Linked DNA regions of Danio rerio. The protein of the gene in region 2 binds, or shares a complex with, the protein of the main gene of each other region. Links are inferred from orthologs where the notes say so. Each region holds a gene or a part of one and is shown on either strand. Other genes may lie near its edges. The genes, in order: sptssa and ormdl3.

The links.
Region 1: the proteins of ormdl3 (region 2) and sptssa are in contact, whole or in part, in a cryo-EM structure (PDB 7CQI), measured with the Homo sapiens proteins. The link is inferred for Danio rerio from reciprocal best matches to the Homo sapiens genes ORMDL3 and SPTSSA. Residues at the interface, in NP_001307730.1 of Homo sapiens: Val36, Leu38, Ser39, Ile40, Pro41, Phe42, Ser44; in NP_612145.2 of Homo sapiens: Ile44, Tyr50, Thr51, Val54, Phe55.

What each region holds. Positions count from the first base shown.
Region 1 is NC_133192.1:11,126,700-11,130,361, forward strand, and holds the end of sptssa (serine palmitoyltransferase small subunit A), read right to left. Parts: intron 3,446-3,662; exon of another isoform or gene 3,270-3,445; intron 1,513-3,269; coding exon 1,409-1,512; 3' UTR 649-1,408; downstream 1-648. UniProt on the Homo sapiens protein: Component of the serine palmitoyltransferase multisubunit enzyme (SPT) that catalyzes the initial and rate-limiting step in sphingolipid biosynthesis by condensing L-serine and activated acyl-CoA (most commonly palmitoyl-CoA) to form long-chain bases.
Region 2 is NC_133187.1:23,973,918-23,978,411, forward strand, and holds the start of ormdl3 (ORM1-like protein 3), read right to left. Parts: upstream 2,956-4,494; 5' UTR 2,674-2,955; intron 2,466-2,673; 5' UTR 2,440-2,465; coding exon 2,266-2,439; intron 1-2,265. UniProt on the Homo sapiens protein: Plays an essential role in the homeostatic regulation of sphingolipid de novo biosynthesis by modulating the activity of the serine palmitoyltransferase (SPT) in response to ceramide levels.

The DNA.
Region 1 (3,662 bases), on a different chromosome or scaffold from region 2:
TTAAGAGTTAATCAGTCATGTCTTCATGGTTTGCAGCTTGTGCAAAATGCTGCTGCTCGCATGTTGACCAACAGTCGGAAAAGTGAACGCATTACACCAATTCTCTACTCCCTAAAACTGGCTCCTCGTTAAGTTTAGTATTGATTTGAAACTTTTGATGTTTGCTTTTAGTGCCATCAATGGCCTTGCTCCTATTTATGCAAATTTTTGCATGTGCACAAACCCAGAAGAGCTCTGTGATCTGCTGACCAACTCCTGCTTGAAGTCCCTCGGTCAACAAGCAGTGGGGTGATCGCTCTTTTGCAGTGGCATGTCCTAAAGTCTGGAATACCCTCCCTGCTGAGCTTCATACAATCCCTGACCTGACACTTTTTAAAGCCCAGCTTAAGACCCACTTGTTTAAATTGGCTTTTAATGCAGGGCACTGATGCTGTGTTTTAATGTTTGTGGATTTTATTGATATTTTTTGTACTGTTTTGCATCGTCTGCTTTTCTGTTGTGTTGTATAATTTGCTTTTACTTGTGTCAAGCACTTTAGTCAGCCGTGACTGTAGTAAAGTGCTATATAAATAGAAGTTGATTGATAAATAACAAGATTTAATTCAGTATTAAAATGTACTTATTTTACCACAAACAGGACACCTGAAGTGTAAAAGAAAATCTTTATTACAAAACTATGTTAATCAGTTGAGAAGTCAAGAACAGACTAAAATAATTTAGATTCAACATTTTAATTGAGACATACAACTTGTTTTTCATAACTAGAGGCAAGATTAATGTTTACATACCATTTACAATCTTCTCCATAAAGTAAAAGACTTATTTTCTCTTCAGGATTTTACAGTGAATCTGCTGAATAATTGTTCCAGAGCTCGAAGATCAAGGTAGATTACAGAAGGAGTTTACTGAAGTGTGTTTATGACCCGAGCAACCGGTTCTGAATGATCAACAATGGCGTCACACATCCGTCCATGACTCACAATGTCAAATCTGATCAAAAGTAGATCCAAAACTATACCAGAGATAACTCAAACCACGTCATTTCAGGTCAATAAACCTCTATAAAAATCTTACAAACATGTATACAATTAAATATACACATCAAAAAATAAGAATCATCTGAACAAAGCACTGTCATGAAACAAAACTGAAGCATTATTTAAAAACAAAGTCGTCATCCTATATATATCTTATTTATAAAAGGATACATTTGCAGACAGGGCAGTGTGTGCTATTACAGCGGCAGACTGTGCTGTTTACTGTTGTTCTCCTTCAGCAAACACAAGTGTCCATGTTTGAAGTGTTCATTTTCTTTCACGTGGAGAGGAGTTTTGGAGCAGTTCATTTTCCCGCCAACAGACGGCGGTGGCGCGCAGGATGATGATGACGATGATCCTGCTGGCTGTCGTCACTGGACCACTTCAAAATAGTGTAATATAGCCATAATGTGCTGCGGCATGAACACATAACCGGTGTAGACCGCCATCGCTGCCACTGAGATAAGCAGAGAATCTGAGATCATGGTTAAGGAAACCTTTATACAAGAGAAAATTCATTTACAACAACTAAACTGGATAAAAGATGGAATTAAATGGGGAAAAGGTAATGAAAAAAAAAAGATTTAAAATATATATTAATGATAATTATTATATAAATGAATTCCCAGAGATGGGTTGTGGCTGGAAGGGCATCCACTGCGTAAAAATATGCTGGATAAGTTGGTGGTTCATTCCGCTGTGGCGACCAGAAAATGAATGAATATAAATAAAATGACAGTAAAATAAGTACACAAAATTACAATGAAATAAATATGAAAATTGTACTAATGTTTGTAAAAAAAAAAAATAACTGATGCATAAGAGGTCAATGATATATACTAGGGTTGTCATAATTCTGGAATTCCATACCAATCAATACTGGCATTTTAAAAATGTCCATCTCACTAATATTTGAGCGCTGTGGAGCGTTCTTAAACACTGCTGATTTGCCACTGTGATCACGTGCTCAACACAAATGACTGTGATTGGCCATGAAGCTCATCAGTTCACCAAACTCACCACAGTTTACGGAGTGTAACCACAGAAACAGGGACACTGAAGTGCTTCAAAGCCGAGCTTCATCAGCAGATCTCTCGTATGTCTGCTTATAGACAAACCAGCTGATCGACGTGACTTTGAAGCGCTCCAGTGTCCCTGTTTCTGTGGTCACACTCAGTAAACTGTGGTGAGTTTGGTGAACTGATGAGATTCATGGCCAATCAATGGCTGTTTCTCAATATGCGTTCTTCAGCGGTCTTGCGTCCTCGTGTTCTCGTGTAACGTCATCATCAGCTGCCCAAGTTCAGTTCCAATACTCAAGACCGCAAGTACGGAGGACGCGTGAAACTTCCCGGATGTGATCTTGATATCGAGGACGCACCGATGCAGACTTAAGCACCGAACTCGCACTGGAAGTCCCAGAAGTCATTGCGACTGGAGATGGGAAGCGCAGCATTTTATTTAGATTTATTAATAAAGTTCAGAGATATAACTTATTCACCTCAGGAGTTTCCCTAAATGACACCGTGAAAGTAAACATTATCATGGACATCTTAATAAAGAAATAAACACATTAAAGGTGTTTGTTTGCTGAAATTCGTATTAAAATCAGTTTTATTTATATTGTGCGACATATATTTATAATGTTTTATGCAATTTTGAAAAGGGGAAAAACAATAAATCGTTGTATGAAGGCTGTAATGTTTAAATAATTTACCATTTAAAACACGTGAAGGTCACGTGACCATCAGGAAGAACGCAGCATCTCAATTCTCAAAGGACGCATTCTCTGCCCTCGCGGTCTCCTGAGTTCGTTCTTCCGAGGACACCTGGCAAGACCGGTCTCCACAAGAACGCAAGTCCGTTCTCTGCGTTCTTGGAATTGAGAAACAGCCACAGTCATTTCTGTTGAGCACGTGAACACAATGACCAGTCAGCACTGTTTAAGCATTCAAATGCTCAACAGCGCTCAAATGTTAGCGGGAAATGGATGTTTTAAAAATGTCAGTATCAGTTGGTACCAAATTCCAGTTTCGTGACAACCCTAACAGATACACACACATAAATAAATACAAACATATACACACACGCACATATATATCACACATGGGACGATAACCGAATTCAAAGTTCACCATGGTTTGGAAAAGTCAAGGTTTTAAAATAGCAGAGGAATTCTGTTAGACAGTTTGTTTGTTTTTTTATGACTGTTTTGTTGATTTTTTTTTTTAGGGCAACAGCATCTCCAGCAGTAAAGGACCCTCCACATCAAAAGCTACAGTGGTCAGCTTATGATTTAGAAAACAAATCACTTATAAACCAGCATCCAAGCATGCTATAGACCTGAACAATGCTTCTGTATTTCCAAAAAAAAAAAAAAAAAAGATCTCCAAAGACGCCTTTTACAAGTTGTAAAGAAATCTGTGCTTTTTGAAACTAATGAAGACAGCAGAGGTTCATCCTTTATTTGGATTATTTAGTCTGACATGTCATTCATTTATTTACTTTTCGTCTTAGTCCCTTTATTAATCCGGGGTCACCACAGCAGAATGAACTGCCAATTTATCCAGCAAATGTTTTACGCAGCGGATGCCCTTCCAGCTGCAAACCATCTCTTGGAAACAT
Region 2 (4,494 bases):
TTGTTAAATATCTATTAAAATGTTAAATAACTGCTTTCGTATAGTATGTACTGTAATTTCAAATGGAACTATTACTCCAGGCATTATTGCTTTTATTACTATTTCCATTATTATTATTATTAATAATAATAATAATAATAATAACTAATATTAGAGTGATTTCTGAAGGATCATGCGACTCTGAAGACTAGAGTAATGAACTTGAAAATCAATTTTAAAATCACTGGAATAAATTATTAAATTATAAACTACTTTTGAACAGTCATTTTATAGTGCAATAACATTTGACAATTTTACAATCTGTACTGTATTTTTGATGAAATCAATCAAGTCTTAGTGACTCACTGCAACATACTGAAGTGAGTGACGGCTTTTAAGTGATATTCAAGAGAGAACATTTCCTAATTTTTATACTGTATACAATCCATTTGAGTTAGAACAAAATGTGTGTTTTGAGATCCGCTAAGAGGACCATGTGCCATGTACTGTACACATTGCACATTTTAAAAGTGACATGCTCAAAGTAATGCAGAAAGGAACTGCAGTGACTGACAGTGATAACCACAGCAATACATGGGAGAAAAATGTCATGTCAAAATGACAAGACAGAAGCACATACAGTGATATTTTTTTAGAAACTAGGTCTCCTTGCAAACTTGGTGCATATTGACATTTTTTATAATGATGACTTTTGCTTCAATTTAGAAGTGACAGAGCATTTGAATAGTACTGAATGCTGCAAACCTTATCAAATTAAGATTGCATTTGTGTGATAGTTGTGTGCAATACATACATTTTTAAAACATTGCAATAATATAAAAACATTTTGCTATGTCATTACAGGACAGGAGCATGTGCTGTTCAGGACTAAACACTGAGGCAATGGATTAAAAGTAATGTTGTAAATATTAATAAATTTCTCGCACACACTGATTATTTTGCTTCTTAAAAAGATTGTTCACCCAAAAATGAAAATTTACTCACCACTTACTCTCCCTCAGATGGCTCCAAACACTTTTCTGTTGAACAAAAAATATGTTATTTTGAAAAATGTTAGAAACCTGTAACCATCTTCCAAAGTAGGAAAAAATAAATACCATGGAAGTGAATGGTTACAGATTTCCAGCATTCTACAAAATATTTTGTGTTCAAAAGAAAAAATAAATAAATAAAACAAGTCTGGGTCATGTGGAGCTTGAGTAAATTCAATTTTGGTGTGAACTATCCTTTTAAAGCCTCATCAGGAGCCACAGCAATTTTGGCTCATCTGTATGTGTTTCTGACTCTCTACTAGTCCCAGTAGCTATTTACATGCATTTTGCAGATCATTAAAACCATGGTTTCAATTAAAAACATATTCTTAATGTTCTGCAACAGAACAAAGTCTCATACATGTTTGTTGGCTTGAGGTTCTATAAATTAAAGGGACAGTTCATCCCAAAACTGAAAATTTACTCACCATTTACTCACCCCCAAGTGGTTCCAAACTTTTAAGAGTTCCTTTATTCTGTTAAACACACACACACACATAAGATATTTCATTCATTCATTTTTTTCTGCTTAGTCCTTTTATTAATCTGGGGTCGCCACAACGGAATGAACCGCCAACTTATCCAGCATATATGTTTGTTTTACACAACAGATGCCCTTCCAGCTGCAGTCCATCACTGAGAAACATTCATACACTCATTCACACACATACACTATGGACAATTTAGCTTACCCAATCACCTTAAACCACATTTTTGATCTTGTGGGAGAACCGGAGCACCCGGAGAAAACCCACGCCAACTCAGGGAGAACATGCAAACTTCACACACAAGTGCAAACTGACCCAGCCGAGGCCTGAACCAGCGACCTTCTTGCTGTGAGTCGATTGAGCTACAAGATATTTCAAAGAAAGCTAAAAAACGATAACCACTGACAATCATAGTAGTAAAAACAAATACTACAGAACTCAATGCTTACCACTTAAGCTTTCTTTAAAATATCTTCCCTCATATTTAACAGAATAAAGTCATTAACAAGTAAACAGTGAGTAAATGAAGAGAAAATTTTTATTTTTGGAAACATTCCTGTTGTTAATTTTTCATTGTGTGTTTGTCTGTATGCTATTGAGAAACACTTTTATGACTTTTTTATGACAAACAATTGTGAAACTACTTTGATCACCACTTAGCAGAACAACCAGTGACCCAAACAATAATAAACATCAATAGCAGTCTACGTAACATGATCATAATGCTTGTTCTCGACATTTCTTACCATGTTGTGAATGAGGTTGGTGAGTGTCCAGACCACAGGCACACTGACGAAGGGTATGCTGAGCAATATGATGTGTAGCAGACCGATGCCCAGCACATAGGAGAGCCAAATCCCCCTGCTGTTCATCACGCGTGTGTTCGGGTTTACTTCGCTATGCGCCGTGCCCACGTTCATCCTTACTCACTACTATTGCGCACTTACTGTCAAACACAAAATAAACACGTGAAAATCACATTTACTTCACTGACGTTTACAAGCACTGACTGTAACAAGTCATACAACAAAAATGCCACAAATCACCATCAGCATGCAAACTAGAGAAACACAACGCAACTTCTGAAAGTGTCAAGCATTGATGTTATTTGATGTTATTTAAATGATGAGTGGGGCTAAGAACGAGTCACTTACTGTTCAAAATTGCGCAAGAGTCTTCACTAACCAGACAGAAAGTTGACAATAACTCCTTAGGAAGGAAATTATAACCTTAGTTCTCGCCCCCGTTGTAATTTCGTAAACGTTATCAGGATATCGTCCGCTCTGGAGCCTTTATGCAGTGTAGCCTTGCGGTTTTGCGCCCACGACACTTGACACGTCTGTTTATTTCATGATGTTTGCTTTCAAGCACTTTGTTCCCGTGCAAACAGATGGTGACAACACAGCAAGACTTCATCGTTTCACGTCATCATTTTTCAGAACTCACCTTTAGAAGGATGGAAATGTATTCATCGGGGTATCCGCTGATTGGACGGTGTGGGTCACGTGGAGGGTGTAGGCCAATCAGCGGTCGATGCGTTGATAATTTGCTGAAAAGTCGCACGCCCCCCCCTTCACGTCACAGAAAGTGCTAGTGAGGAGAGATTAGGCAATTATGCAAAAATACTGAGATTTATGGGTATGGTAGTTTATTTAAACGAAATATTGCACATAACGAATTAGCCATGATTGTTTTGTAGTAAGAAAGTCAACGGTGACAATTTCACAAGAACACTGGATACAACACAATGCATTCATTGCATTAAAGGAGTTGTTCATCTTAAAATGAATAATCACAATTCAGTCATCATTTAGATACTCTCCCTTGTGTGGTTAAAACTGTATGACTTATTTTCTTCTGTGGAACCAAAAAAGAGAAGCTTAGCAGAATATTAGTGATTAATATTCACAGTCACCATTCACTTTAATTTCATGAGAGCAAATGTAATGCCACCGAAAGGTGACTAATGCAAAGTCCTTAACATTCTTCTCACTTTCTCTATTTGTGTTACACAGAAAAAGAAGAAAACTGTCATTAATAGCATAACCTATATTTTATTATCAAAGACTTTTGAGAATTTAAAAAAGTCAGTTCAATAGAGTGAAAAGCTCTAAAATACTAAAATATAACTAAAATATGTCATGCTGAACAGCTTTCTCCCCAGTGTGGTCTGAAAATTGTAATAATGTGGGCATTTAATCGTCCTCTGACACAATTTCGTTGTTTGCTTTTGTTTTGTTTGTTCTTCCTAAGATTTCTTCTTTTTGGAAGTGACTTGGAAAAGTACTGTCCCAAAATATTCTTAAAGTTTCTCAAAATAAAATATACTGTTCAAAGAGGAAAAAAAGTTTTGTTTGTTACAATATATATATATATATCAGTATCATAAAACCGTGATAATTTTATCCAAGGTTACCATATACTGTCAGAATCTTATACTGACCCGAGCCTACTGAGTGGTTAGCACTGTTGCCTCACAGCAAGAGTCACAGCAGGGTCAGTTGGCGTTTCTGTATGGAGTGGAGTTTGCATGTTTTCCCCGTGTTGACGTGGATTTCCTCTAGGTGCTCCGGTTTCCCTTACAGTCCAAAGACATGCGCTATAGGTGAGTTGGGTAGGCTAAATCGTCCGTAGTGTATGTGTGTGCTTGTAAGTGTGTATGGGTATTTCCTAGTACTGGGTTGCAGCTGGAAGGGCATGTGCTGTGTAAAATATATGCTGGATAAGTTTGCAGTTCATTCTGCTGTGGGGACTTTTGATGAATAAAGAGACTAAGCTGAAGGAAAATGGATGAATGAATGAATTTTGTTCATTATTACTCTAAATTCAAAATTGACTACAAAAATGAATTACTGACAATTTAAAGAAAACTCTGCATCTATGCATAATGCTATTATATATGCATAATAAATTATGTATAAAATGTATAAATGTGCAAATATGTGCATATGTGGTTATGTTTAAAATCAATCAAT